Linked DNA regions of Elephas maximus indicus. The protein of the gene in region 1 purifies or fractionates together with the protein of each later gene. This does not show direct contact. Links are inferred from orthologs where the notes say so. Each region holds a gene or a part of one and is shown on either strand. Other genes may lie near its edges. The genes, in order: KLC1, CLSTN1, KIF5A and KIF5C.

What was found.
Region 2: the proteins of KLC1 (region 1) and CLSTN1 purify together in Homo sapiens (co-immunoprecipitation; 3 studies listed by BioGRID and IntAct, with this or other methods). This does not show direct contact. The link is inferred for Elephas maximus indicus from reciprocal best matches to the Homo sapiens genes KLC1 and CLSTN1.
Region 3: the proteins of KLC1 (region 1) and KIF5A purify together in Homo sapiens (co-immunoprecipitation; 7 studies listed by BioGRID and IntAct, counting the BioPlex papers as one, with this or other methods). This does not show direct contact. The link is inferred for Elephas maximus indicus from reciprocal best matches to the Homo sapiens genes KLC1 and KIF5A.
Region 4: the proteins of KLC1 (region 1) and KIF5C purify together in Homo sapiens (co-immunoprecipitation; 4 studies listed by BioGRID and IntAct, counting the BioPlex papers as one, with this or other methods). This does not show direct contact. The link is inferred for Elephas maximus indicus from reciprocal best matches to the Homo sapiens genes KLC1 and KIF5C.

Annotation. Positions count from the first base shown.
Region 1 is NC_064828.1:117,876,920-117,885,032, forward strand, and holds the start of KLC1 (kinesin light chain 1), read left to right. Parts: upstream 1-5,034; 5' UTR 5,035-5,125; intron 5,126-5,866; exon of another isoform or gene 5,867-6,146; intron 6,147-8,113. UniProt on the Homo sapiens protein: Kinesin is a microtubule-associated force-producing protein that may play a role in organelle transport. The light chain may function in coupling of cargo to the heavy chain or in the modulation of its ATPase activity.
Region 2 is NC_064821.1:49,323,481-49,330,965, forward strand, and holds the start of CLSTN1 (calsyntenin-1), read right to left. Parts: upstream 3,173-7,485; 5' UTR 2,921-3,172; coding exon 2,830-2,920; intron 1-2,829. UniProt on the Homo sapiens protein: Postsynaptic adhesion molecule that binds to presynaptic neurexins to mediate both excitatory and inhibitory synapse formation.
Region 3 is NC_064822.1:117,451,720-117,458,819, forward strand, and holds the start of KIF5A (kinesin heavy chain), read left to right. Parts: upstream 1-3,969; 5' UTR 3,970-4,196; coding exon 4,197-4,325; intron 4,326-7,100. Other genes in the region: DCTN2 (dynactin subunit 2), read right to left, coding at 826-861. UniProt on the Homo sapiens protein: Microtubule-dependent motor required for slow axonal transport of neurofilament proteins (NFH, NFM and NFL). Can induce formation of neurite-like membrane protrusions in non-neuronal cells in a ZFYVE27-dependent manner.
Region 4 is NC_064824.1:45,731,917-45,739,894, forward strand, and holds the start of KIF5C (kinesin heavy chain), read left to right. Parts: upstream 1-4,797; 5' UTR 4,798-5,181; coding exon 5,182-5,307; intron 5,308-7,978. UniProt on the Homo sapiens protein: Microtubule-associated force-producing protein that may play a role in organelle transport. Has ATPase activity. Involved in synaptic transmission. Mediates dendritic trafficking of mRNAs.

The DNA.
Region 1 (8,113 bases):
GCTGTCGAGTTGATTCCGACTCATAGTGACCCTATAGGACAGAGTAGAACTGCCCCATGGAGTTTCCAAGGAGAACCTGGCAGACTCAAACTGCTGACCTCTTGGTTAGCAGCCGTAGCACTTAACCACTACGCCACCAGGGTTTCCACAGATTGACTAGGTATACTGAAAGAATACAACTCTGACACACACCTTTTCTGACTTTAAACTACACAGTACCCTCTTATTCTTTTCTAACAGCTGCCTCATGGTCTAGGTACAGGTTCTTCATGAGCACAATTAAGTGCTCTGGAATTCCCACTTTTCACAATGTTATCCATAATTTGTTATGATCCACCCAGTCTAATGCCTTTGGATATTCAGTAAAACATGGGTAAACATCTTTCTGGTATTCTCTGCTTTCAGCGAGAATCCATCTGACATCAGCAATGACATACCTTGTTCCATTTCCTCTTCTGAATCCCACTTGAATTTCTGGCAGTTCCCTGTCCATACACTGCTACAAATGCTTTTCAATTATCTTCAGTGTAATTTGCATGTGATATTATTTATTAATGATATTGTTTGATAATTTTCGCATTCTGCTGGATCACCCTTCCTCGGAATAGGCACAAATGTGGATCTCTTTCAGTCGCTTGGCCAGGTAGCTGTCTTCCAAATTTCTTGGCATAGATGAACAAGCACTTCCAGTGTTGCATCTGTTTGTTGCAACATCTCAGTTGGTATTCCGTCAATTTCTGGAGGCTTGTTTTTTGCCAATGCCTTCAGTGCAACTTGGATGTCTTCCTTCAGGACCATCGGTTCTTCATCATATGCTACCGCCTAAAATTCATTTTGGTATAGTGACTGTGTATCCTTCCATCTTTTGATGTTTCCTGCCTCATTTCATTTTTTGCCCATAGACTCCTTCAATGTTGCAACTGGAGGCTTGAGTTTTCAGTTCTTTCAGCTTGAGAAATGCCATGCATGTTCCTTCTTTTTGGTTGTCTAACTCCAGGTCTTTGCACGTCATTATAATACTTTGTTTTCTTGAGGTGCCCTTTGAAATTATCTGTTCAGCTCTTTTACTTCATCGTTTCTACTTTTCAGTTTAGATACTCTACATTCAAGAACAAGTTTCAGAGTCTTTTCTGACATCCATTTTGATATCTTTTTTTCCTGTCTTTTTAATAACCTTTTGCTTTTTTCACGTATGATGTCCTTGATGTCATTCCCCCATTCGTCTTGTCTTTGGTCATTAGTGTTCAATGTGTCAAATCTATTCTTGATGTGGTCTCTAAATTCAGGTGGGATATACTCAAGGTTGTACTTTGCCTTTCATGGACTTGTTCTAATTTTCTTCAGCTTCACTTGAACTTGCATATGAGGAACTGCTGGTCTGTTTTGAAGTCGGTCCCTGACCTTGTTCTGATTGATGATATTAAACTTCTCCATCATCTCTTTCCACAGATGTAATTGATTTGATTTCCTGTGTGTTCCATCTGCCGAGGTCCATGTATATAGTTGTTGTTCATGTTGTTGAAAAAAAGCATTTCTAATGAATAAGTTGTTGGTCTTGCAAAATTCTATCATGTGACCTACCTCTACCTCCATCATAGTGTTTATCAACTATATATAAATTATTTCAGTAGCATCAATGTCCCGTTTCTGTCTTCTGACATTACCCTTTTTAGATAACTGCAGACAACCAGTCAAGTCTCCACTTTTCCCAGCATTTCCTGTGATTGCTCAGAAGGGAGAGAAATAGGACACATATTCTCCTGGTCACTTAGAATATTATTGTCCCCAGCACCTGGCACACGTTCAGAGACACATCTGGGGCTCGATGAATGTGTGTGGAATGTCCAAATGCACACACAGGCAGACTCACCTTCCTATGGCACAGATTTGACCCTGTTGTTGGCCTCCCTGCCCCTTCAAACTTCTCACAGGTCCCTCTGTCAGCTGTGGCTGGGCCATCCAACATGACTTCACTCCCAAGTCTGGGGGCCCCAAAGGGACAGCCTGATGCTGGCCTTAGTTGTCTTCGTGGGTTTGACCTTTCCTGCAGGGCAGCAGTCTTCTCACTTGGCCGTTCAGGGCTCCCAAAAGCACAAGCATGAAGCTGCCTGGCCGCCTTCAAGCACAGCCTGAGACTACCACAGCGTCCCTTCATCCACATTCAGGAAACAGGCTGGTCCAGAGCCCAGGGGCGGGGGGTGGTGGCGTGCTGCGTGGCCAGATGGGAGTAGGGGGTGGTTGGTTCACTGGGGCCACCTGTGAGACTAGCACCACAACTTCCCCACTCTGAGGCTGAGAGACTGGCAAGCTAAGCTGGGGCCCCGTGCTGGGTATCCTTTCTTTCCTGGGTTCACCAAGAGGGACTCAAGCCTTAGTTCCCCGGTATTCTCAGAGAAGTGTGGGTGAGTGACAGAGGGGGTGGACTTCACCTTACCGCTACCCCACACGCGCACTCCACCTCTCCCTGATCCAAAGGGGTGGCGATGGTGCGAAGTTTCCCCTTGTTCAGAGGAGACCGACAGTCCTGGAGCTTTCTGCCTGGCGGCTGAGATCTTTAAAGGAAAAACACTCTAAAAACCTGATAAATTCCATTTTTGGACAATGAAGGCAGAGACCAGAAATGGCATGACAGAGCAAGGCAGGACTGTGCCCAAATTAGCACTGGCCTCTGAGGCCATATGCCCACTGCCCTCCCCACCCAGGCTGGGGGTGCCAGGGACTCACTCCCCCTTCACCCTGCCCACAGACCAGGCCGGGCCTAGTCCAGCAGCCCACATGAGGGTGACTTTTAAAAGCCCAGCCTGCCTGCCTCCTGCCCCATCTCCCTCCCTCCCCGGTGGACCTTTCCTCCTCTGTCCCTTTCCCCTCCAGGTACTCATGGACTCCAGCTGCTCGCTGACCTGCAAGCCTCTAGGCATTAAAAGCCAATCCCGCCTTCCCCCAAACCCACAGACATTTACGGTGAGATGATGAATGCCGAAAACAACAGTAATTTCCCATTTTCCTTCCCGAAGCTCCTCCATGGGGGCCTTGTCCCCTGGCCTTCACCTGCGTTGCTCTTCCCGCCTGCCAGGTGAGTGCCCTCATCTGTGAGTCCCCTGGATCCTTGAGGGATGAGGGGTGTACCCCCAGCACCTCTCTGGGCCTCCTCGCTGAGCTCCCCGCAGGGCTGTCAGCTCCCCGGTGCAGGGTGCAGAGCCATCTCATTGGGCAGTAGCTGGGCCTGGGGATAATGAGGACACAGCCGCTCCTGCGCCCATGCTCAGGGTCTGAGGGGAGAGGTCAGCTAACCATGCAGAGTTGAAAAGGCACTGGTGGAGGCACAGGAGGCTTGACTCAGACTAAGCTGGCTGAGAAGGCTTCTAGGAGGGAGTGGCTCTTGGCTGATCCTGAGGGAGTGCACCAGGACAGGGAAAAACAGAACTTCCTAGGCAGGATGGACACTACGTACAGGGGCACGGCCATGAGAAAAAGCAGGGTGGGCGCAGGGCTGGGCAAGGGTGTCTGGGGCCCAGCACAGAGGGAGTTGGAGCACCAGCTCCTGAGGGCCTTGTGAGCCAAGCGAAGCAGTTAAAACCTGACTCTGAGAGCCAGAGGCACATCGCAGCATTCCAAGGAGAGAAACACCCCAGCTCCTTCCTGCCTGCAGACTTCAGTCTGGTGCCCCTGGGCTTTTCACGTGGCTCCTTCCCTCTGCTCCCTTCCCCTGCCTCGCCCCACCACTTTGGCTCTGCCCATTGCTTCATCTGACTTTAATTCTCTGCATAGCCAGCTCCATCCAATATCTCTTTGCTTACATGCTTTGATCTGCTTCTCTTCAGTAGGAAGTAAACTCCTCGAGAGCAGGGGTCTTATATATCTGTTCACCAACACATCCTTGGCCCTTATTTGCGGGAATCTCAGGAGCTCGGCAAATACTTGTAGAAGGGATAAAGAATGAGGTAATAAACCTGCACAGGTGGGGGCAGTGGGGATGCACTAAAAATATGTTGTTGTTGTTGGCTGTCCTCGAGTTGAGCCCCTGACTCATGGTGATCTCATGTCCTGTGGAACAAAATGCCACCTGGTCCTGTGCCATCCCCGTGGCGATGGGTTGCTGTGATCCATAGGGTTTTCACTGGTTGGTTTTTTCAAGCAGATCACCAGGTCTTTCTTCCTAGTCCATCTTAGTCTGGATGCTCCGTAAAAACCTGTTCAGCTTCACAGCAACATGCAACCCTCCACCGACAGACAAGCGGTGGCTGTTCGTGAGGTGCACTGGCTGGGAACTGAACCTGGGTCTCCCGCATGGGAGAAAAGAATTCTACCACTGACCACCAGTGACCTAAGGAGATCTTAAGGAGGTAGAATCTTGGCTACCCGTGGGAAGTGGGGTACAGGGGAGAGGGCATCAGGGCTCCGGGTTTCTTGCCTGGGCGATGGGTGACTGGAGGTGCCACTTCCCATACCTGGCCTGGTCCTCCCTCCTCCACAGCACTTGGCAGTGAGTCAGGAGACACCTGTGCGTACCCTTCCAAACAGCTGCTGTGCCCAGCCTAACCGTGGTTGAGGAGCAGCACTGGAAGGTGGGTGATAGCTAGGCTGGGGTTTGGCCAGAATCACTAACAGCGTATGTGCGTTTCACTCTGCTTCATGGCCTCTGCCTTGGGCCCTGTAATTGCTGCGTCACCCTAGGAGCGCCCCCTTTGCACTCATAAATCAGATCGAAGTAGCTGGATCTGCTTGTGACAATCTGGGAGCGCTTACTTGCCTGGTGACTGCACAATTGCAGGTCAAAACAAGGCTGCCTGTCGATGCTGGGTGATACCATCTGAAAAAGACAGCGGTTCACAAGGGCAGGGGCTGGCAGGGGAACCACCTGGCCCTTGGGACATTTGCAGGTCCCCAGAAGGAGGGATCTCCCAAGCTGGCAGCAGGCAGAGGGCTGAGCTGGGCCCCCTGCATCTGCGGCGGCCGCCTGGGTGGCTGCTGAGTCAGCCTGCGGCACTGGCGATGCGGCAGGACAGGACCCAGGCGCTCTCTGACCTGGAAGTACTGCCCTTCAGGCGGGCTGGAGGTCGAGGCGCTGCAGCAAGCGGTGTGGTCTGCAGGACGGCCGGGAGGCTGCCAGGGTGCGACAGCCGAGGTGGGCATCTCGTCTCTGGCCAGGCACGGCTGGTCCAGCATCCCGTCCCTTCCCCCAGCCTCAAGTGCAGTTTGTGTGAGAGCCTGCGGCCGAGGGGCGCGCCTGGAAAGTCCCCTTGAGCTGCATTCCTGAGGCTCCCGGGGCTGGGGGAGAGGGCATGAGATGGGGAGGGCGTGGCGGTGAGTCTTGACCCACGACTCTAAGTTTTCCTGGAGAACGGAGACAGGCCCCCTGGCCGGGAGACCTCGAGCTCGCCACCGGCTGGGCAGGTCGGCAGCATCGTGACCTTTGGGGGGGCAGACGGGAGCCCTCCCTGCAGGCCCTGGGCGGACGTAGGGGGCGCGTCAGCCTCACACCAGGCACAGGAGCGTGGGTCTGGCGCCCGACACGCCCGGGGTGGGCCGGGGCCGCGGCCGGGACGTGGGTGGACGAGGCGCGCACCTCCTCCGACCACATTCCGGGCGGGTACCGGCTGGGAGGGGCGGCGGCCGAAGCGCCGGGTCACCCCACGGCCGCGTCCCAGCAGCCCAGCCGGGCCGCACCTCTCCCTGCCCCAGAGCCCGGCGCCCACCCCGGCGACGCCCCCGGATCTCGGCCGCCGAGCGTGGGCAGCGCAGCCCCCGGGAGCCGCGTGGGCGCCGCGGCCCGAGTCCCCCGCCGAGCGCTGGCCCCGCCCCCGGCGCGCGGGGGCGGGTGACGTCATCCTGGGCGCGGCGGCGCGCGGCATTGTGGGGCGGGGCCGGCCGCGCCGGGAGGGAGGAGACGCCATTTTCGGCGGCGGAAGCGGATCCGGCAGCGCGGAGCGGAGCTGAGGGCTGCGCTCGGCGCCGGGAGACACGGGGCGCGAGCCAGTGGGGATGCTGCGGGGCGGCGGCAGCGGCGTCGGCGTCCCTCGCTCGTGACTGCGGCGCTGTGCCTGGAGCGGCCGAGGCAGCGTCTCCTCAGAGCGTCGCCCCTCCGCGCGCAGCCCCGCCGCGTCCTGCCCGCGCGTGGCGAGCGCGGCCCCCGCAGGAGCAGGACGGTGAGTGCGGCGGCGCGGCGACGGCCGGGCGGTCCCGGCCCGATTCCGAGCGCGTCTCGGCCCCGCCGCGGCCCCGCGCCGGTCCCCTCTCCCGCCCCCGTGACTGCCGCGGGCGCTGCGTCCTCATCCCGGTCTCCATCCCGGTGTCCGCCTGCATCCCGGCCGCCCGCGTCCCGGCGCCGTTCTCCCGCGGGCAGGGGCGGCGGTTCCCGGGGACGGGGCGGCGGTTCCCGGGGACGCGGCGGCGGGGCTCGCTTTGTCCGGTCCTCCCTCTTCCTTCCGGCCGCCGCCCTCTCCGCGGCGCCGCCCTGGGCCGACGCGCCGGTGCCCCTCGCGGGCGATGGGAGCCGCCCCGGCTGCAGACCCCCTGTCTGGCCGGCGCCCCCGTCTTCTCACGGGCAGGTGGGCGAGGTTCCCGTCCGCGGCCTTAGCGCACGCTGGCGCTGCTGCGACCCAGCTGGCCGCGGCCTCCGTCCGGAGTACGTTCTCGGTTGCAAAATTTGTGCACGTTATTCTTTAAATGAAAATAAAGATTAAAAAAGTAAAATTGACGCGTGGTGGATTGCATGGCTTTTTAGCTAAAGATTTGTAGGTCCTGTAGGTCGTTCCCGGATGTATATATATGGATGTTTTTGTTGAAATTTGTTGCTGTCTGTTTTTTCTCATTGAAAGAATATGCTCAAAATTTACGTAGTAAGCATGTCATAAGGAGGACTTGGAAAAATGAGTTTTTATAGAGCGGGAAAACAGCAAAAATTTAAGATGTGTATACCATTTAAAGTGCAATGTAGATCAGTTAGAGCTTTGATGGCTTGCACAGTTAAATTCCAAGGTCTTTTTTTTTTTGGTACAGCATGACTAAGCCCTTGGTCAGAATCTGTAGCTTGGAATACATTGTAATGATCCAGTGAAAAGCCTCTTAGGAGATTGGAACGACCTCCTAAAAGCTAATAATTATAGAATTTACCTCTTTCGGGGATTGGTAACAAGCCACAGTTAGAGTGGAAATTTGACCCATTGTTCTGTTTCATAAGTGTTTGTAAGAATACCATGGTACTAAATATTACAATTTTCAGATGGTGTGGAATTATGGGAGGGTAGGCGGTCTGAGCTGTTTCTCCACGTCACCGAAGAATGCAACATCATGTTGCAGTTGGCGCTGGGTGATGGAGCGCCAGGCATGGGGACCCTCCCTGGGCCCTGCTGTGTACTTTTCTCCGCAGGTGTGAAGAAATGCATGGGGCTCGCACAGTGATTCTCTCCAGCCAGCGGGAGGGAGGGAATGAATGGCCCTGGGGAGGGTACCGGGTCCCGTGTTTCATAGATTCCTAAGCATGTTTCACAGTGTTGCAGAAAAAATAAAGTCAGTGTGTAGATTTCCCCATAGGGCTTTTATAAACTAGCTTAAAACATCATGTAATTATGTAAAAAGAAAATTAGAAACTGGAAAGGCAAAAGAGTAAATGTAGGATTGGTTTAACCTGGAAGTATTTTTGGTAGCCTTGTCACCGTTTAAGTGGAATATGAGAACCAGTATCCGATGTAGTTAAGACTTGATCACTAAAATCCTAAATAAGAACAGGCAGAAAACTTCAGGTGCCAAATTGCAGAGGGTAGAATGAAAATGATTAGCAAATTAAGATTGTGAAAGGGTGGTCTTAAATGTCTATTGAGAACGAGTTAAATGCCAGGCACTGTGCTAAGGGTTTGGGGATGTAAAAATAGAAGACAGTTACTGTCCTGCCGAGTGGATTCTAACGCGGTGGTTTTATAGGACAGAGTAGAAGCGCCCCAGAGGGTTTCCGAGGCTGTAATCTTTCCAGAAGATTGGCACATCTTTCTTCCATGGAGCGCTGGCTGCTGGGTTTGAACCGCTGACCTTTTGGTTAGCGGTGGAGCACTTAAACGCTGCACTACCAGGGCTACTTGTACGTAGACAGGCACCACCGCCTACGCTGAAGCATTTG
Region 2 (7,485 bases), on another chromosome or scaffold:
CATGATCCACAAGGAACCTGGGAACAGAAACTGAAAACAGACAAGGACCTTCTCCCACAGTAGAGGGAAAAAGAGAGAGAGCCTTCCCCTAGACCTGGTGCCCTGAAATTCACACTTCCAGCCTCCTACACTGTAAGAAAAGAAATTTCTGTTTGTCAAAGCCACCCGCTTGTGGTATTTCTGTTACAGCAGCACTAGATAACTAAGACAGCTGGGCTGATAGGATACACCTGTATACAAAACAGACCAAAACCCTTCCACCTTGAGAGGTCTGTTCTAGTAAGGGGAGACAAAACGTAAGTAACAAAGCATGTGGGAAAAAGAAAAACTGGAGCAGGGAAGGGCAGGTTCCTATTTCCTGTACTTGAACTTCTATTTCCTGATCATTAACTCAATGAAGAAAAAGCAGGCAGCCTAAAGAGAAGGCCATCAGGGACGAACACATGCCAAGCCTCTCTCTCCAAACAGTTTGCTTTACTTGACCTTTGTTTTTTGAGAACTACTACTACTATTACAGCCCTGGTGACACAGTAGTTAAAGCACTAGCTGCTAACCAAAAGGTCAGTGGTTCAAACCCACCAGCAGCTCCTTGGGAGAAAGATGTGCATGCAATCTGCTTCCGTAAAGATTTACAGCCTTGGAAACCCTACGGGGCAGTTCTCCTCGGTCCTATAGGGTCCTATAGGGTCGCCATGAGTTGGACGCAACTCGACAGCAGCGGGTTTTTTGGTTTTGGTACTATCAGAACTACTAAAGGGAAATTTGGGGTTCTCCATAAAACAACTACTTAAGAGCCAAAATACAATTTATGTCGCAAAGTCTATCATTCTCTCCAGCAGTTTGTATGTGATTTTTATCCCATTAATAATTATAAGAGGTAACTGGAGTATGAAGAGCAGTTCATAATGGCATACTTCTTTGCAGCAATAAAAAAAATTCAAATATTAGTTGAAACAATCATCACTTAAAATGAGCCCATACAAAATATCTCCACAAATGGTATTATTTAAATAAAAAATTCATTTTTTATTCAAAATGTTATCACTTTATTAGCATCTCATGTAATATTAGTGAGACATATTCTAATTTGCAAGCTGAAAAACAAATGCAACAGAATAAGTGATGTTTAAAATGTGTTTTTATTTTGAAGTCTAAGAATCCTGAAGTACTATAACTGCACCAAGAAAAGCTTAGAGAAAGTTAGGAAATTACGAAGGACTCAATACTCAAACGCATCTTTCACGTAAGATTTCTCAGTTCAGCATAATGAAAGTATTTATAGTTGAAATTCATGCTATTTAAGTGCACAAAGTAATTCAATAATGAATAGCAAATGTGACTGAATGGACAAACTTAAGAAAACAAGGATTTTAACATGAAATGTTATCATCGACTAAACTAAATATACTTGAACTGTTTCCAAAATACAAAACCAAGCACATACTAAAAGATGGGTGGGTTTTCCCCAAGACAAGCAAAACTTTGACACATACTGTGGGTTTTTGTTTTTTGGTGTGTTTTTTTTTTTTTTGGCTATACAGACTTTCAGATCTCCATCTCACATCTGAGAGAACATTTCTAATTTAGCTTGATGTAACTTTTAAAAAGCAAATTGTAAATTGAGCACAATTAGATACTTAGTGAATGAGATCTGAATCCCACACAGTCAACAGGATTTTACAAAGATATGAATGAAGTTTCAAAGCTTATCATCCTCCATGTTAAGAAAAGAATATGGAACAAAAGGTGCATTTTGCCTCTTCTGCCCTTTAATTTGTGGACACCATACTTGGCTCAACAATGTCGTGCCAAAGAGGAGAAAAGAGAATTTTAAATTGCTAAATTGAAATGCTGACGGGCTCATCGAGACTTCTGTCAAAACTCCCCCCCACACACACACACTTCATTAAAAAAAAAAAATCATAAGACTAGATTCAAATACTCTATAGACTACACCTAGATTACTTTGCTCCTAAGGCCAAGGAAAATGTTTACGATTCCAAGATCCATTCAGAAGCCTGTATCTGCAATGCGTAAGCTTGTGGTTGGCAAGATCAATCAATATCAGAAATCATGTAACGTTTAAACGGTCAAGTCGTGAAGGTAAAATAAGTAATCAATTCACCAAGGAATCTTTTTTGCCATGTAACTACAAAATAATGTCGGTCCTACAACCCTAAGAAATCACCGCGGGGATTCGTTTCTCGTTTCTGTTGAGGCCAGCTAAGCTCCTGCACGATCTAATTACCGTCAGAAAAACTGCACCAAGGCGTCGAGGGCGGGGGAGACGGAGATTTCCAACACACACAATTTGACCTCAGGGTGCAAGGAGGGGCGAGGGGAGCAAGAAGTTGCCGCCACTGTTCGTTTGGAAACAGACGTTTAAAGGCCCCTGGGGGGAGATGGCCAGGGGAAACGGTGCAGTGTCCGCCGCGCAGCAGCCGGGACTCGGGGTCTTGGGAAAGGATGCGGAGGAGTGGGTTCTTATGTAAGCACACACAAAAACTGTGCGTGCCCCCACCGCCCCGCTGCACCTCTCAGCACACAACGCACGTACCGAGCATCGCACCCCGGGGTGCATCTCCGAGTTCGTGCGCTGCAGAGGACCCCTCGGCCCGTCCGCACGCCCCCACGATCCCGCACGGCCACCTCCCGGGGCCGCAAAAGGGGCGGCCCAAGCCTTGGTGCGCCGCCCGGGACCGAACCCGGCTTTCCCGAGGCGGTGCAGCGCGCGCCCGCGGCCTCCTGCGCCCCGACCGGGACCCCCGCGCCCTGACCGGGACCCCCGCGCCCCGACCAGAGACCCCGCGCCCCGACCCGACAGCTTACCTCGTGAGGCCCAGACCCCGCCTCCGCACAGCAGCCCGGCCAGCAGCAGCCAGGCAGCCGGGGCCCGCGCGGGCGAGGAGCGGCGCAGCATCGCTCGGGCTCCCTGCGCCTCGGCCGGCCCGAGGCGGGAGCGGCAGAGACGCACGCGGGGCGCAGAGCGGGGCTATCGCGCCCCGAGGCCGGCTGCTTGGCGCTGCGGCGAGCACCGGGGTCCGAGGAGGAGCCGCCGCCGCCGTGACGCTGGGCCGCGCGCTCCGGCCGCGGGCGCCCTCCCTCCTCCGCCGCGCAGGCAGCGCTTCGCTGGAGGCAGCGGCAGCAACTAAGATGGCGGCGCCGCTCTCTCTCGGGTCCGGCGAGGGTACCCGGCCGGGGGCGGGGTGCGGCGGGAGGGGCGGGGAGCGAGAGACGCGCGGCGGGCCCGGGAGCGCGCGGGAGGCGGCGCGAGGCGCGGGCGGGGCGCAGGGGCGCGGGCGCGGCGGGGACGGGCGCGTGCGCTCGGTGGGCCCGGGAGCGCGCGGAGGGCGGTGCGAGGCGCGTGGGGGGCGCGGGCGCGCGACAGGCCGGGGAACTCGCGCCTCCGAACCGGCTGGCAGAACCAGGAGAGCGCGCGCGCCCGCGGGGGATGCGCCGGAGGTTGGCTCCCCGCGATCTGTGTACGCCCTGACCCCGCGCAGCCGGAGTGCACCACTCCTCGTCCCCAGGCGCGTTCCCAGGCTCCAGAGGCCAAGCGAGTGGCACCTTGGAGCCCAAGTTTCGCTTCTCTCATGTGAAGGACTTCTTCCCCAGCCCCACCCCAGGGCAGCGCTATGCAGCCCAGGGCCCTTGAGCGCCAGCACCCTGTCTGACTTCCAGCAAGTCCTTGCCTCCCAGATTCTCGGTGTCCTCTTGTGCCTAGTGGAGGTGATAAGAGGTAACACTCGGGGTGGTGCAAGATGTTCAAGGGGAAGAGGGCAGCGTGACAGGCTAAACAGTTAAGGGCTGCGCAGCACGTGCCGCGGTGGTACCAGCCCGGGAGGGGGTTGCGTGTTCCCAGGCGTCCGTCCTCAATTTGCAACTCGAAGATTTCTCCATTTGCTTAAGAAATCCGATTCTGGCTTTTTAAAGGTACTGTCTTTCTAACCAATCTTAAGTGTGATGCTCACGGCCCTTAGAAATGAGGAGATCCAACTAGATGAAGGAGGGCCCTTCTGATGGATCCCTGCAGAAATATGGGGTCCTCTCCTTTTCTTCCGTTCTGGGGCACCCCCTTCTCTCAGCTGGTGATCTCGAACCCTGGCAGGGGCCACAGCCCCACACTAGAGGAAAGGACTGGCTAACAGATAAACTCTGTGTGCCGGGCACTGTGCCACATGAGACCATGTTATTGGCTCCATTTTGCAGATGAAGAAACTAAGTCAGAGAGACATATGACTTCCCCAATTGAGACGACTACTGTAAAAAGAAGAATCAGCCGTGGAGGACATCTCATTAGGGAGATGAGACACCTACAGCAAAAAGTTAAATAACAATAAAATGTTAATTATGCCACTGTGCTGGAAAATATCAAAGGTGACTCACTGCCAAGTGCCAAGGGCTACGTTTGCAGTAAGAGCTCAGCTGGCTGGTGGGCTCTCGGGAGAGCTTGGGGGTGGGGGTCAGTGGAGAGGAGTGGGCAGCCTTGGAGGCTGTGAGGAGAATGAGTCACTCCTTTGGTAGGGGAGAGGACTTATTTAGAAGAGTAGTGGGCAAGGATCCCAAAAAGGTAGATTGAGGCCAGATTGTGAGGTTCCTTAAATGATAGGATGAGGTATTTGGACTTGAGCTGGCAAGCAATAGGAAGTAGTTATGTGATGTGACCCAAGGGGAGTTTCAAAGCAGTCGTATAATTGACTATGCCCCTCTCTGTCCTTTGTCCCCCAAGATAACCTCTGTCCTTCAACTCTCCATGCTGGCCGGACACTAGAATGTCCTTGGTTGGACTTCACCTGAGGTCCCTGCCATCTCTAGACTGTGTCCCACCACTCCTTCCAGCCAAGGATGTGGGAGTCACCCTCCCTGAGTGTTGCTACTGTCCCTCCCTGACACATAAACCATTGGCTGCTGGCAGCCTCTCTCTGGTTCAGACAGCTCCGCAGAGCTCCCAAGCTGTCAGCCCCGGGCCCCACCCAGGTAACCTCAGGACCTAAGGTTTCACCTCCATCTTAGCTCTAGTTCTCCTACCCAGGGCCAGCATCATAGCACATCCACCCTCACCCCTCCTCTGAGCCTTAAGTCCTTAAGGCTCATCCCTGGGCTACCTCCTTCAGAAAGTCCTGACTAGCAGGCCCTCCTGCACTGATACCCACCAACTCTTATACCTCACAGCGCAGGCTTTCTAATCTGCTGCCTTGTGCTAACTATTCCACGTGTGCACCTTTTTCTCCCCACTGTGTTCTAGTGGAAAGGACCATCAGACAGGACTAAACTAGAATTACGGCTCCCAATACTACAAATGACCTTGGACAAGTTATGGAACTTTCTGAATTTCTTCATCTGTGAAATGGGATACTGACACCTACTTCCTAGACTAGTGATAATTACATGAGGCATTAAAGTGCCTCACAGAGCCTGGTATACTGTAGGTGCCGAATATATGGTGGTTTCTCTTTTTCTCTCAGGGCTAGTAGCCTTCTGAGCTTCTGCTATACTGGTGAATACATAGTGTAGTTGTTAGGTGACTCGAGTTGATTCTGACTCAAAGCAACCCCATGTGACAAAGTAAAACTACCCCATGGGAGCGGATTGCCAGGTCTTTATCTCACAGAGCCACTGGGTGGGTACGAATCCCCAACCTTTTGGTTAGCAGCCAAATGCATTTATTGAACACCTACTACGTACTCAGTAAATGTTCGGTGATGAACTAAATGAACTGCTATGTTAGTTAGTCTCTTATAGAGATCATACCTAGATGGAAAAACAGTGTTCCCTGTAGGTTTTCATGGACCTTCTAGATTTACAAAACATAAAATCAGGAAGGTATAATCTCAGAACTGTATTTTGAGTCCAGAGAGAAAATTGAAATATATTCGGTTCTATTAAAAGCACAAATAAAACCTTGGTGTCTGAAATCTGAATCCCCTTATCTCCTCAGCCTGGCTGTCCCTTAAGGAAACAAAGAGATCAAAAAGGTTCAGCTGCAGGTGGGGCAGACAGCTGGCTGGCGCGCTCCATGCAACCTGCACACGCTGTGATTTTGCCCCCTTGAGAGTTCGCCCAGCTGCAGAGCTCAGCTGCAGCATCCTGGAAGCGAGGGAAGCTGGGGAACTGAGGATGCCATCCTCCTGACAACAGCCTCGGCCATATTGGCACTTTTCAAAGGTCTGTATGTGACGCAGTAGTTAATCCTCAAGATGGCCCTGAGGTGGGGATCGATCTGGACTTCATGCCGTGGTTAGCTTCTTCAAGGAGCTGAACTAGGCGCTGAGGAGTGTCAGCTCACTTAGGAGAACACAGACACGGGACAGGAGGTGGCTTTGTCCATTGGGCAAGGAAGATGGAATTTTTGAACACATATCAACCGAGCTGAGGCAGTAGGTGGGAAGGACACAAGGAGATTTTTCAGAACGCTGCACCTTTTGAGGGTGGGTCTTATAACAGCAACCTCTGTAGTGTGCTAAATAGGAGTGCCTAGGTGGCGCAGTGGTTAAAGAGCTCAGCTGCTAACCACAAGGTAAGCAGTTTGAACCCAATAGCTGCTCTGCAGGAAAAAGATGTAACAGGCTGCTTCTGTAAAGATTTCAGCCTTGGAAGCCCCGTGGACCAGTTCTAGGTCACAATGAGTCAGAATCGACTCGACAGCAATGGGTTTGGGGTTTTGTTTTCTTTTGTTTGGGTGGCACAAATTGTTAAGTGTTCTACTACTAGCCAAAATGTTGGCAGTTCGAACCTATCCAGAGGTGCCTCAGAAGACAGGCCTGGCAATCTGCTTCTGAGAAGTCACAGCCTTAAAAACTCCATGGAGCAGTTCTACCCTGTGCACATGGGGTCACCATGAGTCAGAATCAACTCGATGGCAACTAACAACAACAGCTGTGTTAAATACATGATCTATCATTTATGCCTCCAGCAGCCGGAACTTCTTATAGTCCCTGTTTTACAGATGAGAGCGATGATTTTTTTTTTTTTTTTGCTTTTGTACTTTTTTCTGGTAGTTAAAAAATACATGTAACAAAACCGCTGCCAATTGAGCAGTTTTTACACGCACAGTTCAGTGACATTGATTACATTCATCATGTGGCGCAACCGTCACCGCTATCCTTTTCCAAAGGATTCCAGCACGATTGGCAGAAACTCAGTGCCCCCTAAGCAATGGCTCTCCTTTCCCCCTCCCTTGCACTCCTGGTAACCGCTAATAAACTGTGGTCTCCATGCATTTGCCTGTTCCTATAAGCGAGAACAATGTAAATTTTGCTCAAGAGATCATTGCTAGAAAGAAGGAAACCTGAAATGCAATGTCATGTCCATGGGAGCTCCAAATATGCCTTTGCCTTGTGTGTGAAAGTACCCCCCAGACATCAAAAAGGCCCCACACGGGATCCAATGCTTTGGAGCCAGCCTGCCCCACCAATGTCAGGAGATGGGGTTTCAAGCCCCGGCTTGCCGTTCTGTGGCTGTACCAGGTCATGGGAGACTGTTCTC
Region 3 (7,100 bases), on another chromosome or scaffold:
AAGGCAGGCTGTGATGCCAGGATCCTGTCCTTTCTCTTCCACCTGTCCCTAACAGCATGTCAGTTCCCCATGACTCAGTGGGGTGGGGATGACAGAGGGGACAACTGGGACCTGATTGTAAATGGTATGTACTGATGACAAAGATGTTACTCATTACTCTGAATCTGAAGGCTGGGGGAGCACGTCCTTGGCAATCATATCACAAGTAGGTGAGGGCTATCCTTGAATTAGGCCCGGAGCACCACTACCCCGGCACAAGGGTTAAGCATGAGTCGGGACCAAGGTCCTGTGATCCAACCCCTACCCGGAAAATACAGACAGAGCCGCACAAAGAGGGAACACGCAGGCATGTGCATGGGGGAAGGGAGGGGCAGATTCCCGGGGGACAGAGTTCCACCTCTGACACAAGAAAAGTTCTGCCACCCTAATCTCTTCCTTGGCAGGGTGAAGGCCATCACCAAGTATCCTGTTGTGTGTGTTCTGGGGTGGCGTGAGAGGTGGGGGGTTTATAGGGAGATTTGGGACAGCACGGGAGGTGTTGACACTGGTGGTAACACTAGGGCACAAGTGGTAACGACCAGCAACGACTTCGGGGCCGGGGAGCCGGCGCCTGCCGGGAAGGGGGTCTGGTGCGCCGTCCGACGGCCCAGCTCAGTCGGATAGAAGGAGTCCGGAAGGTGCTGCGGCCGGTCTCGGAGCGAGGGGAACGCGTCCTTGGGGCGGAGGAGGGGCTTCAGGCGGGAGGGGTTCGGGTTGGTGTCTGTTGGGGGTCCTAGGGTGGTCGGGGGCGCGGTCCTGGGAAGCCGTAGCCAGCCCTGTACTCACAATGCCGGGAAGGTCGGCGTATTTAGGGTCCGCCATGGCGGCGGCGAGGCGGGGTGGGGGGACCGGGGCCTCAGTAGAGCCGGGGCCGGTGTTCAGGTAGGGGAGAGGATGAGTCCGGGTCCCGGGCTAAGACGGCGGCAAAGGGAGCGGCGCAGGAGGCGGAGGAGCCGGAGGTCTCGCGACAGGAGTAGCACAGCAGAAGGGTAAAACAAAAGTCGCGAGAATAGCCTGATGCCACACCTCCGGCTAGGCAGGGATTGGCGAGAACGAGGCCAGAGAATGAGGTAATGGCAGGGATGGAGGGGAAACGCCGCCTGGGATTGTGGGATGTGTAGTCTTGGCGGGCTGGGGTTTGGGCAGGGAACGACAATAACGCGTCTTGAGGAGCTGTTTTACACTACTTATTTTCTTTCTTTTTTACATCAAGTCTGTGAAAGAGATCTTATATTTCCTTTTTTTCAGATGAATAAATTGGAACTTCCAGAAATTAAGTGGCTAGATAAAATCACAAAACTCGTCCTGTTATGGCATAGCCAGGGCTTGAAAAACAAGTAAAATTTAGTAAACGCTTAGAGCATATTAAGAGCTTTGGTGATGTAGTCGTTAAGTGCTATGGCTTCTAACCAAAATATCAGCAGTTCGAATCCACCAGCCGCTCCTTGGAAACCCCATGGGGCAGTTCTACTCTGTCCTACAGAGTCTCTATGAGTCAGAGATGATTCGACGTCCACTTTTTTTTTTTTTAGTGCGTATTAGGTATGGAAATCTTATCTTCTCAAGTTAGGGGTGTCATAAAATACAGGACGCCTAGTTAACTTTGAATTTCAGAAAAACAACTAATAGTTTTTAGTATAAGGGCGCATGCCATATTTGGGACATACACAAAAAATTATTAATTATCTGAAATTCAAATTTAACTGGGCTTCCAGTTTTTTTTTTTTTAATTTGGCAATCCTATTTCAAAGTTATATAATAGGAAAGTGATACTTCCATATCTGTCAGACCACCCTCTGTGCTCTTAACCACTTCACTAATAGTTTCAAGACCTTTGAATTTCACAGTTCAATAAAATTGAAACAACAACAGCAAATCTTTTTGAGGATAAACACCGAATTGCTACCTTTTTATTTTTCCAAGTAAATACATTAAAAAAAGAAAACCTACTGTCTCTATCACCAACTTAGCAGAAAAATAGGAAGTCTCAGAATAAAAGACAGTTCTTTTAAACTTAACTAGCTTTGTGAAAAACTCACCACATTGTTCTTTTCTTTAATAATATTTTATTGTGTTTTTTTGTGAAAGTGTTCCTGTTTGACAATTTCCACACAAATCTATCAATGACATCAGTTACATTTTTCACATTGTATCAACATTCTCTTTGTGCTCTGGTTGTTCCATTTCCAGTACTCTAGTTTCCCTGCCCCCTTATCGTCTCATCTTTACTTTGGATTAAATGTTGACCTTTTGGGCTGGTACAGATGGTTTTTTAGCAGAGCACAGATCTAAATGGTAATATATCACATTGTTCTTTTTGGGGGGTGGGGAGGGGAGGGCTATCCAGTGACCCTTCATGGCCTGGCATTCTGAAACTACTAAGTATGTTTCCCTGAAGCTCCTGGGGCCTCAAGGTTGGGATGTTTCCCAGGATATTTCTCGAGCTTGCAGGATGCTGCAACACTTAGAAATAGTGCCAGACAAAGTGACTGGAGAGATACCTATTTTCCTGAGTTTAGAACTCGTTGTCATTCTATCTACACTTTCCTGGCTCCTCCCCCAAGCCTCTACCCCTCTTTCTCCATAGTTCCACTGCCTTCTCATCCAGTTCCTTAAGCTGGATCGTTTTCCCTCAGTTCTCTTAAGATTCAGGTGGGTTAGAGATATAGGTCTGATGGGAACTCCCTCCTCAGATGAGTTCTGAGTGGTTGGGTCTTTTCTGGCCAGGCCATCAGCCTCTTACCCTTGCCCCTTAGTGTCTAAGTGACCTTAGACACTTAACAGACAATTGCTGGGTAGAACCTCCATTCCCTCCTCCCTGCTCCCATCACCCTGCCCCTCCCCTTGGCCCAGAGCTTCAACTCCTGCAGTCCAACTCTCTGTTGGCCAGCAAAAACCTGTGACATGGAGAAAAATCAATTCACCAGCTTCTTGGTGGTTCTGCCCCATGGGCTGCAGCTGTAGGTTGACCTGGGAGAAAGAAGGACAAGGCTTTTCTGGGCTTGACTTGTACCAGGGAAGGGAGGAGAAGCAGAGAAGAAAGGCCTGAGAAAGGGGCTGGGATATTGGGATTCTGTCCAGTGGTAACTGGAACAGGAAACATACATAGGTGCTTAAACCTGCTGAAACCCAAATGCAGGTGTTCACCCTAAGAATCCTCTCAGAGGCCCCTGTAGCCTTGCCCACTCCTATCACCACTCTCCTTCACCGCCTTCTGACTCCCTTTCTCTTGCAAAAGTTACTCCTGCCCACCTCCATCCCAGTCTCAATTTAGTAGGCAAAAATGAGAAATTCATCTGCTTTTGAATTCTGATAGGCCAGAATGGGAGTTTGTCTTCTTTCAAACTGGGGACCTGGTGTGTATGTTGGGGAGAGAGTAGGGTGCACCCTTGCATATAGAAGGGGAAGGTGGTAGCCAGACTTGCCCCTGATACCTCTTCCCCAAGAATGGGACCTGGAGACCCACCCTCAATACAGGTACAGGCAGCTGCCCTTGAAGGTTGAGTGGGTTGGGAATTTGGCATCTGTGCGTGGGAGGTGAGACGGGGGAATGAGAAGTGGGCTCCCAATTTAGAGAGAGGACTGTGACGGGGGTAGAGGATACCCCGGAAAAAAGGGATGGAAACCTTGTTGACCCTCTTGTTAAGACAAGCGCACCTCCGACCCTCTATTCCCTTCCAGGGGGTGGAGGGAGGGACAAACAGGTCGGGGGAGGGGGACGCAGTGTATGAACTGGATTGGGAAGGGGTGAGGCAAGTTATCTCCGAGCCTCAGGGGTGAGTAGGGGACAGGTGGGAGTAGGGAGGAAAGGTCACACCCTGCGCTGGTCATTGTCGTGCGAGCGGTTCCCGGCGAGGGAGGCCACGCCCCCCGCTCCTCATCGCGGCCCCGCCCAAGCCCGCAGCGCTGCGCTGCAGCGGGAAGGGCGGAGAGGCAGAGCGCCGCGAGAGCACCAGCCGCCAGGTCCCCCGCCCGCACCCCAGTGCCGCAGGAGAGAAAGCGCGCACAGGTCCTGCTCCCAGTCTTCGCCTCGGCGCCCCTCAACAGAGACCCAGCTCCTCTCCTCCGCCTCGGCCTCAGCTGAGCGCCCTCCTCCTCCGGAGCACACATCACCCCTGCAGCCCCAGAAGTGCCCCAGCCCCACGTCGGCGACCACCATGACGGAGACCAACAACGAATGTAGCATCAAGGTGCTCTGCCGCTTTCGGCCCCTCAACCAGGCAGAGATTCTGCGGGGGGACAAGTTCATCCCCATTTTCCAAGGGGATGACAGCGTCGTTATTGGGGTGAGTGCTGCCCCTGGAAGGGATTGGGGGGGGAGGGCGGGAGACTGAATCTTATACCGCAGAGCCTAAGCGCCTGCCTGTCACACTGCGCCCCCTCCCCTCCACTCATCCTCCATCCTCCATCCTTCATCCTCCAACCATCCTCCGCGCCGCAGTCCCTCCTTCTCTCCCCTGCATCAGGATGGCTGGGTGTGGCCTGGCCAGGCCAGCGGCCAAGACTCTGCAGAGGGGGAGGGGGCTACTTCTCCGGGACTAGGGGAGCCAGCTCGCCTTTACTACTCTCTACAGGTTCGCCACCCCTTAGAGTCAGTCCCGTGTTTTTCTGATCTTTTCCCTCTCTCCCCAGAGAAGGTGCATCTTCTCTTTGTTATTGGCTCAGATCTGTGCCCCTCACCTCCCAGCAAGGGAGGAGAAGGCTAGTGGATGGGCTAGATGGGAGGTGGGCAGTCCAGGGTCTCTGCGGTGGTGTGAATGGAAGTGGGGTCCAGGACCAAATCCGGGACCAAATTCCTCCATCATCCCCTAAATTAGTTAAGGCCTGGACTTGGGGGAAGGGCACAAGTCTGTTGAAGGGTGTTCTGGGAAAGGAATACATGGATGCCACGCCCAGCTTGGGGGAAGCCTCTGGGGTCCTAAGGAAATGTCTCCCTTTTCCTCCCAGGTACAATAGGAAGAAGATTTCAGACCCCCCAACACTTCCCCTCCAATAAGTAAAAATGCTCAAACCCAAGATCCTAATAAGTACCTGCTTATTCATCCTTTCCCTTGATGAACCAGTAAAAGGTAGCAAGCCACCTCTACCTCATCATGATAATCCTTAACCATGGAGGAGGTCTTGTTAAGAAGGAAAATAATATTTATTGTGTTCTTGTCACTCTATCCATATTATTTAGTTCTTAAAACAACACTCTGAAGCAGGGATTAATATTTCCATTTTACAGTTAAGGACCTTGAGGCCCAAAGAAGTTAAATGACTTTCTCAAGGTCACACAGTTAATTCATGGAGCTGAATGCAAATCTGTGAGTTCAAAGCTCATGCTTTTTCCTCTACATCGCACTGCCTCTCCAGATTTCTGTTCTGGACCTTTATCAGTTATGACTCAAAGGGAATTGCTAGGCCTCATCCACTCCACCTTGCCTAGGCTGGTGGAATGGGGTGAAAGGATCTGGGAATTGAGTCCTGTGGGGCTTGAGGGGTACTGGGCCAGGAAACTGTAGCCCTGCTTAAGAAGGGAGGGGCGAATTTGAGGGCAGTCCCTGAGCTTCTCAAGGTCAGGAGCACTTCTTATGTATCTTTGATCCACAGTCTTTGACACAAGGCAGCTGGAAACACGCTTGCTAAAGGAATGAAAGGAGAGGAGGGAACCTGGGCTCTATGAGTCAGTGAGAATGAGATTTTGAGTAAACATGTCTCAGGGAGAGGTCTGCTTACCCATCCCCAAGGATCCCCAAAGGGGACTATGCCACCACCCTGTCCCCTCACTCACCCTGTGAACTCAGATGGATGTTTTAGCCTTGTGTGTGTGTGTGTGTTTGTGTGTACTTGCCACATGGGGAGTGCTTCTGTCTCTCTTTGGCTTGGGATCTCAGACCCTGTAGTCTGGGGGCTTTGCAGTCTGGTCAGCCTGGACAGCAAATACTAACGATGAGAGTTGAAACTTGAGTCTCCCCCACACGAAGGCTGAAAAACAGAAGAGGGGTGGTATGGGGGAGCAAATCCACAAAAAAGGCTTCCACTTTTAAACCCAGCGTTGTTGCTCCAGAATGCATTTCAGGTAAGTCTGAACTAACTCCTTTAGGTGCTCTAGAACATCCTGGTGTGCTGGGCATGGGGCAGGGGGTGATGCTGGGAGAAAGAAATATGGTGCTGATCTGTCCAAGTAGCCTAGCTAAATAGGAGAGACACAATGGGTGATGGGAAGTGAAGAGAGATTGAAGAGAGGTGGGGGGCCTGCCAATTCAGATTCTCTTTCAGCTCTACAGCTGGTACTTCCTTGTCTATTTTGTCTGATGTTCGACAGGCTGTACCTTTGTTTTGCTTTGTATCTTCCCTCACCCCAGCCCTTCCTGTCAATCCCTCACTCCAAGGTAAATGCTTCTGAGGGGCCATTTTGTCCCACGCAGCATCCTGGGAGCTTGCATTCTCAACCTTACTATTCCTTCCTCATTCAGGAGAATGAGGGCTATAGGAGAAGTGATTTTGAGGAGACCCTTGAAGATCGCAACAGGGGAAGGAAATCTACCACCTTTCCCTTTCCTCTTTTCTCCTCTAGTTTCCGCTTGGGGGCCAGTGTGTGGGGAAACTGTCTGAGGAATTAATGGGAAGGTAAGGGAAGAGTGAAAGTGGGAGAGGATAATCCTTACAAACCCAGCCCCTGCTCCTTCCTGTAGCTGCTTTTTCTTTGCCTCTGCGGCACTGCGGCTAGCTCTGGCCTTTAGCATCTCTTATGTTCCTGAGCTTTGTTCTGCTTGGCAATGAGTAGGAGAATAAAGAGTAGGAGAATAAGCTGAAGAGACAGCTCTGTGAACCTTGTCACTCCCTCCCTCCCTGACTTCTCCCAGAAATCTGGGGCTTGTCAAAAGTTAATGGCCTGAGTCGTAGTAGAAGGATATCTGGGTTACTGTCTATGTGGTGTGCATCTTGTTTTGCTCTTTATGTCACTCAGAATCTCAGCGTGATTCTGTCACTGGATGCATTTATATATCTATCTTTCTCTGCCTTGGTCTTTGGTGGCTAGAGTGTCCCAGTGTCTGTTGTCTGGGCTGCTGCATCTC
Region 4 (7,978 bases), on another chromosome or scaffold:
CAGCAGTCAATTAAAAAAAAGTAAGACCCCCCCCCAAAAAAAGGTGATGTTAATTTTACTTAACCTTTTAGCATATCTTATATACTCAATATATCCAAAGTATTTTCATTTCAACATGTAATCAGTATAAAAGAATTATTAACGACATATCTTTTTTTTTTAATACTAAGCCTTCAAAATTCTGTTTGTATTTTACACTCAGCACATCTGGTTTTGAACAATAAATTTTCATCAGAAATAATCTGTATTTAGATTTCATAAAATTACAGTTGAAAAAAGTAGATTCACATACCCAAGCCATTCCAAGTGAACATAAAAGTTTTCAAATAATTTTGAAATGTAGTTAAATATTAATTAACAGTGACTTGATCATGTAGTCAATGATCCAGGTCAAATTAAATTTAACTAATTAAGATCGATTGCCCCATGCATCTGTCAGTTTGTTGTACTGTGGGGGTTTGTGTGTTGCTGTGATTCTGGAAGCAATGCCACCAATACTCAAATACCAGTAGGGTCACCCATGGCAAACATGTTTCAGCTGAGCTTCCAGACTAAGACACACTAGGAAGAAGGACCTGGCGGTCTAATTCTGAAAAGAATTAGCCAGTGAAAACCTTGTGGAACATCGTCTGATGTAGTGCCGGAAGATGAGCCCCTCAGTTTGGAAGGCACTCAAAATACAACTGGGGAAGAGATGCCTCCTCAAAATAGAGTTGACCTTAACGATGTGGATGGAGTCAAGCTTTTGGATCCTGCTAATGTAGCACGACTCAAAATGAGAAGAAACAGCTGCAAACATCCATTAATAATCGGACCCTGGAATGTACAAAGTATGAATCTAGGAAAATTGGAAATCTTGAAAAATGAAATGGAACACATAAACATTAATATCCTAGGCATTAGTGAGCTGAAATGGACTGGTATTGGTCATTTTGAATCAGACAATCATTTGGTCTACTATGCCGGGAACAGCAAGTTGAAAAGGAATGGCATTTCATTCATTGTCAAAAAGAACATTTCAAGATCTATCCTGAAGTACAATGCCGTCAGTGATAGGATAATATCCATATGCCTACAAGGAAGACCAGTTAATATGAATATTATTCAAATTTATGCACCAGCCACTAATGCCAAAGATGAAGAAATTAAAGATTTTTACCAGCTTCTGCAGTCTGAAATTGATCAAATGTGCAATCAAGATGCATTGATAATTACTGTGAAAGTTGGAAGCTAAGAAGGATTGGTAGCTGGAAAATATGGCCTTGGTGACAGAAACAATGCCAGAGATTGCATGATAGAATTTCGCAAGACCAACAACTTCTTCACTGCAAATACCTTTTTTCACCAACATAAATGGCATCTATAGACTTCACCAGGTAGAATACACAGGAATCAAATTGACTACATCTGTGGAAAGAGATGATGGGAAAGCTCAATATCATCAGTGAGAACAAGGCTGGGGGGGATTGTGGATCAGACCATCAATTACTCATATGCAAGTTCAAGTTGAAACTGGAGAATATTAGAACAAATGGACGAGAGGCAAAGTACAACCTTGAATATATACCACCTGAATTGAGACCACCTCAAGAGTAGATTTAACGCATTGAACACTAATGACCAAAGACCAGACGAGTTGTGGAATGACATTAAGGACATTTTGCATGAAGAAAGCAAGAGGTCATTAAAGAGACAGGAGAGAAAGAAAAGACCAAAATGGATGGCAAAAGAGACTCTGAAACTTGCTCTTGAACATCAAGTAGCTAAAGCAAAAGGAAAAAATGAGGTCAAAGAGCTGAACAGAAGAGTTCAAAGGGCAGCTTGAGAAGACAAAGTATTATGATGACATTAGCAAGGACCTGGAGATAAAAAACCAAAAGGGAAGCACATGCTCAGCATTTCTCAAGCTGAAAGAACTAAAGAAAAAATTCAAGCCTCGAGTTGCAATACTGAAGGATTCTAAGGGGAAAATATTAAGTGACACAGGAAGCATCAAAAGAAGATGGAAGAAATACACAAAGTCACTATACCAAAAAGAATTGGCCGATGTTCAACCATTTCAGGAGGTAACATATGATCAGGAACTGATGGTATTGAAGGAAGAAGTCCAAGCTGCACTGAAGGCATTGGTGAAAAACAAGGCTCCAGGAATTGACAGAGTACCAGTTGAGATGATTGAACAAACGGCTGCAACACTCGAAGTGCTCACTTGTCTATGCCAAGAAATTTGGAAGACAACTACCTGGCCAACTGACTGGAAGAGATCCATATTTATGCCTATTCCCAAAAAAGATGATCCAACCGGATGCAGAAATTATCAAACCGTATCATCAATATCACATGCAAGCAAAATTTTGCTGAAGATCATTCAAAAGTGGCTGCAGCAGTATATCAACAGGGAACTGCCAGAAATTCAGGCCTGGTTCCGTTGAGGATGTGGAACCAGGGATATTATTGCTGATGTCGGATGGATCCTGGCTGAAAGCAGGGAATACCAGACAGATGTTCACCTGTGTTTTATTGATTATGCAAAGGCATTTGACTCTGTGGATCATAACAAATTATGGATAACACTCAGGATAATGGGAATTCCAGAACACTTAATTGTGCTCATGAGGAATCTGTCCATGGATCAAGAAGCAGTCGTTTAAACAGAACAGGGGGATACTACACAGTTTAAGTCAGGAAAGGTGTGCGTCAGGGTTGTATCCTTTCACCATACCTATTCAATCTGTATGCTGAGCAAATTATCTGAGAAGCTGGACTATATGAAGAAGAATGGGGCATCATGATTGGAGGAAGACTCATTAAAAACCTGCATTCTGCAGATGACACAACCTTGCTTGTTGAAAGTGAAGAGACCTGAAGCACTTACCAATGAAGATCAAAAATCTCAGCCTTCACTATGGATTACACCTCAACATAAAGAAAACAAAAATCCTCAAAATTGGACCAATAAGCGACATCATGATGAACAGAGAAAAGATTGAGGTTGTCAAGGATTTCATTTTACTTGGATCCACAATCAACACCCATGGAAGCAGCAGTCAAGAAATTAAAAGACACATTGGGCGAATCTGCTGCAAAAGACCTCTTTAAAGTATTGAAAAGTAAAGATGAGGATTAAGGTTTGGCTGTTCCAGGCCATGGTATTTTCAATCATATCATATGCATGTGAAAGCTGGACAATGAATAAGGAAGACCCTAGAAGAACTGACACCTCTGAATTGTGGTGTTGACCAAGAAAATTGAATATGCCACGGACTGCCAAAAGAATTAACAAATCTGTTTTGGAAGAAGTACAACCAGAATGCTCCTTAGAGGCAAGGATGGCAAGACTACATCTTACACACTCTGGACATGTTGTCAGGAAGGATCAGTCCCCGGAGAAGGACATCATGCTTGGTAAAGTAGAGGGTCAGTGAAAAAGAAGAAGGCCCTCAACGAGATGGATTGACACAGTGGCTGCAATAACGGGCTCAAACATAGTGACAATTGTGAGGATAGTGCAGGACTAGGCAGTGTTTCGTTCTGCTGTGCATAGGGTTGCTACGAGTCTTGACAGCACCTAACAACAACAAGATTGATTAAATTTTAATTAACCAAATTAAATAAAATTAAAATTCACTCCGTCAGTCCCACTAGCCACATTTCAAGTGCTCCGTCGCCACCTTGGCTGGTGGCTACTCTATGGGACAGCACATATCTGCAGAGTCTAAGCACAGCACAACCAAACATAGAAATCTACATGATTGATTTGCTGTGTGTCCAAGGATGGTTCCAGGTTAGGCCAGTGATAAAAATTCCTATCTTGACCTTCAAGGTTTTTTTTATGGTTGGACCCCAAATTGCCTTTTGAACTAATCTCTCACCTGTTCCATTCTGGCCCCATAGGTCTCCTTACCATCTATGGCCGTGCCAAACAGTCTGAGCTCCATACCTTGGCTTTTGTTGTCCTCCTGGCTAAATATCCTACTTTAGTTGGAAAAGGCAGTAGTAGAATTCTCACCTTTCGTGCTGGAGGCCTGGGTTCAATTCTTAGCCATGTGCCTCATGTGCAGCTGTCACCCATTGTCAGTGGAGGCTTGTGTGTTTTTATGGTGCTAAACAGATTTCAGGGTAGCTTCCAAACTTGAATGGACTAGGAAGAAAGGTCTGTTTAGCTAGTTCTGAAAATCAGTCAATAAAAACTCCATGGACCAGAACATTCTGATTCTCAATCCATCATGGGGATGGCACAGTGTTTATTTATGCATGAGGCCGCCATAAATTGGGGGCACACTGATGGCAGCTAACAACAACAACCACTCCTAGTCTTCAGGAGTCCAGGTACCCTCTTAAATAGCATGCAAAATCTTGAGGGTATGTAAGAGGTTTTTTTTTTTTTGCAATGGAGAAGGTCCCTAACCTTCATCGAGTATTAAAGGAGTCAAAACGTCTTATGAACTGCTGTCTATGTACAGGCATTTCCAGGAATAATTGGCTTCAAACATCCACGGCAAATCTCATTTCCCCCTGCTTTCCTCACAATTCTTAGAACACCGGGAATATAGGATATAACCTCCCACTCTGTCCTTGGCTTGGACAGCTAGACCGGACCTACAGGTCCTTGGAGGTCACACCTGGGCACCACTACTATCCCGGAAAGCCAATTCCAGGCATCCTTGACCTTTCACGTGCACGTGGAGCGACTACAAGTCCCGGGATGCGCCGCGCCAGGCTCCGAGCCGGGGCGAGGGCGGGCGGATCTCCGCAGTGACGTCACGGTCCGGGGCGGGCCCGGAGGGGTGGGCGGGGCGGAGGGCGGGACCGGGAGGCTGCGGAGCGCCCGGTGCTGATGCAGGATGGCTGAGCGCGCAGGAGCCCGGGAGGTCTGAGCCGGGAGAGGCTCGCTCCCTGCGCGTCGCCTCGTCCGCCCGCCTCGTGTTCGCGGGCAGGTGGGGCCGGGGTGCAGGGCAGGGGCAGGGCGGCGCCGGGGGCTGGTAGGTTGCCTCCCTTCCCGGGCTCGGAGCGGCCAGAGCTCCCCAGCAGCCCGAGTTCACGATGACCTGCTGAGAAGCGGCGTCGGAGGCTGCAGGAGGCAGCCTCGCTGCGGGAGGTGCGGTTCGCGGCCTCCTCCCTTGTCGTGCGGAGCCCCGGCCCCCAACCCATCCCCGCGCCCCCTCCCCGCAGCCGGTCGAGATGGCGGATCCAGCCGAATGCAGCATCAAAGTGATGTGCCGGTTTCGGCCCCTCAACGAGGCGGAGATCCTCCGTGGGGACAAATTCATCCCCAAATTTAAAGGCGATGAAACCGTGGTGATTGGGGTAAGTGGCCGAGGGGCCTGGCCTCCCCTTCAGTTTCGCGCCGCAGCCCGACTCCCCGACACCCCAGACGAAGCGGAGATGCTCGGGTCGCCCCTTCGGACATCCCCGAGGGGCAGACCCCGCACCCCGGGTGGACTGAGGAGTGACCCCCCCCACCCCACCCATAATTCCCTCCAGGTTGGGTGGAGGGAAGCTGGGGGTGGCGGGGCGGGCCCCGGTGGCGGGGGTGGGGGTGGGAGGCGAGGAAGGGCTCGGAGCCGCCATTGTTCGCGGGGTGGGGGCCCGAGTGGGCCTATTGTTCCCTGTCCTGGCCACGCCGCGTGGGTAGTGTTGGGTACCCTCAAGCCCGGGTGCCGGGGCTTCTCTTAAAGTATGAGCTATGTAGCCCACAAATGCTTCCAGGAATCAGTTCGATTTATCGAACACTTTGACGACTCCTCTCACGATCTTAGCGAAAAATGAAGAAAAAAAAAAAAGGTATTGGAAATATCCTGGCCTCGACTCGGAGCTCCCGCGGCGGCATAGACGCGGCTCCCTGCGGCGTTTCGTCTTGCCCCGCGAGGAAGCCTGGGGTGGGGGAAGGGGACGCTGGTGGCCTTGGTGTATCCTGGAGGTCTGGTGTGTCTCGTTCCGCTTCCCCTCAACCCAGGCTTCCTTGGACGTGGAGCCTGGGTTTGACCCCCTCCCTGCTTGGGCTACCCCCCACCTTGTGTTGGCGGATCATGGGATGTGCTTCCTACGGGGTGGAGGGAAGGCTGTGTCCCTATCTGTGGAGCGAAGGGACCCAGAGCGCACCAGATAGCCCATCTGTGCCAAGAGCAGAAGTTACTTTGTGTGGTTAGAGGCCCCCTCCCTCTTAACCTCTTTTCCCACCTTTCTCACCGACTTAGCGCTCTTCTGCTGCCGGAGCTGCTGGTGGGGGGAGGGGATACCACTGGGTTTTAGTTCTTTAAGGAATATTTCAGCCCTACCCTCCTCCTTTTCCCCCACCGCGGTCCCTAGCGTGCGGCTGACGGTGCCCCCTTTGTATGCCAGTGGCGTGGGGAGGGACTGAGTTAATGGGAGCCTCCTGGTCCCCGCTGACATGTTCTTGGCAGCCCGCTCGAGGCTGCTCTTGCAGCCTTGCCGTCCCCAGCATTGATTAAATGATGTCATCCCGATCACTGAGCATGCTCCGACTAACCCCCTCCCTCCCACCCCCCCCCCAGTGGTTAGTGTATTTAGGTCAAATGATTGACAGGTGACAATTTACCGAGGGGCTTGCTGAAGCTGTCTGAGTCTGTCTGCACACTGGAAGTCCCCAGCATCTTCGCCAAGGTTGTTTTGCCGCAGTCCCTGCGAAGGGCCCCGGGGACCAGCAGGTGCTAGCTGTAACTGTAGGGTGGTGGCTCTTCGCGCCTGTGGAACCGAAACGGCTTCATTCTACACCTTCTTTACCAAGGCAGCTCTTGATGACTCCTCCACTCCCCATTTTCACAGTTACCAGAAAACCATGACTTCCAAATGCTACGCAGATGGGTATTCTTTCTGAGAGTTGACCTATGAGGGTGGGAAAGAGGGTTTCCTCCTTGCTTGTGTTTACTTGCAGAGATTTATGCTACAATTACTGATGAGGAGGGAAATTCTGCAGTTAATGGCGGGTCAGGGTTAGTGACATATCCATGGCCAGAAACTGGGGGCAGATAGTGGCTTGTTTGGGTTAAAGTTAGAAGTCTGGGTCTGCCTACGGTCTGATCTGCTATTTCCTGAGCCAGGCTGTGATTTAGAGTGGGAGTTACTCTGGACATCTAGTCCCTGCCTCTTGGCTGGTAAGAAATTTTTAACAGATAATTGTGTAGCACTGGAACATGTCCTGGTGACCCTAATTTTTTTTCCAGCGATTTTAAAGAAGAGCCTGGAGAAGTTTTCTTTTTCTTCTTCTCCTCTTCTTCTGATAAAGTGAGGTGGATTAATAAATTATCTTTTTGATCTGTGTGCAAAGCAGAGATCTTTAATTTTAGGCTTATCCTTCTTAAATATTGTGATGATAACATAAGTGTCTATAATGTAAGTGGAAACCCTGGTGGCATAGTAGTTAAGTGCTGTGGCTGCTAACCAAAGGGTCGGCAGTTCGAATCCGCCAGGCACCCTTTGGAAACTCTATGGGGCGGTTCTGTTCTGTCCTAGAGGGTTGCTATGAGTTGGAATTGACTTTGATGGCAGCGGGCTTAGTTTTTGGTTTATAATATAAGTATATTATTTTCCCATCTATATATATGAAAAAAAAACTTTTTTGTTTTTTTTTATATATGTGGGTCGCTATGAGTCGGAATCGAGTCGACGGCACTGGGTTTATATATATGTTATTAACTAAGTATATTGAAGGAAAGTCACCATATAAACTAACAGGTAATTTAAACAAAAACCTTTGGGTGTGAATATACTTGTTTTTAACTGGAAAGTGATTTTTGCTTATCCTACTATAAGCCTTTAATACAACAGCCAGTTTTCAGCTCTTTTTTTTTAAAATAAACTTTTTACTGAAGTAAAACATGCATATACAAAAGTGTTGTAAGTGTACAGTTTGATGAATCTTCACAAAGTAAATGGTTTCTTGTAACCACCTCCCAGATTAAGCACCACAACATTCCCAGGACCCTAGAAATGCCCCAAATGGCTCCCCTTTAGTCAC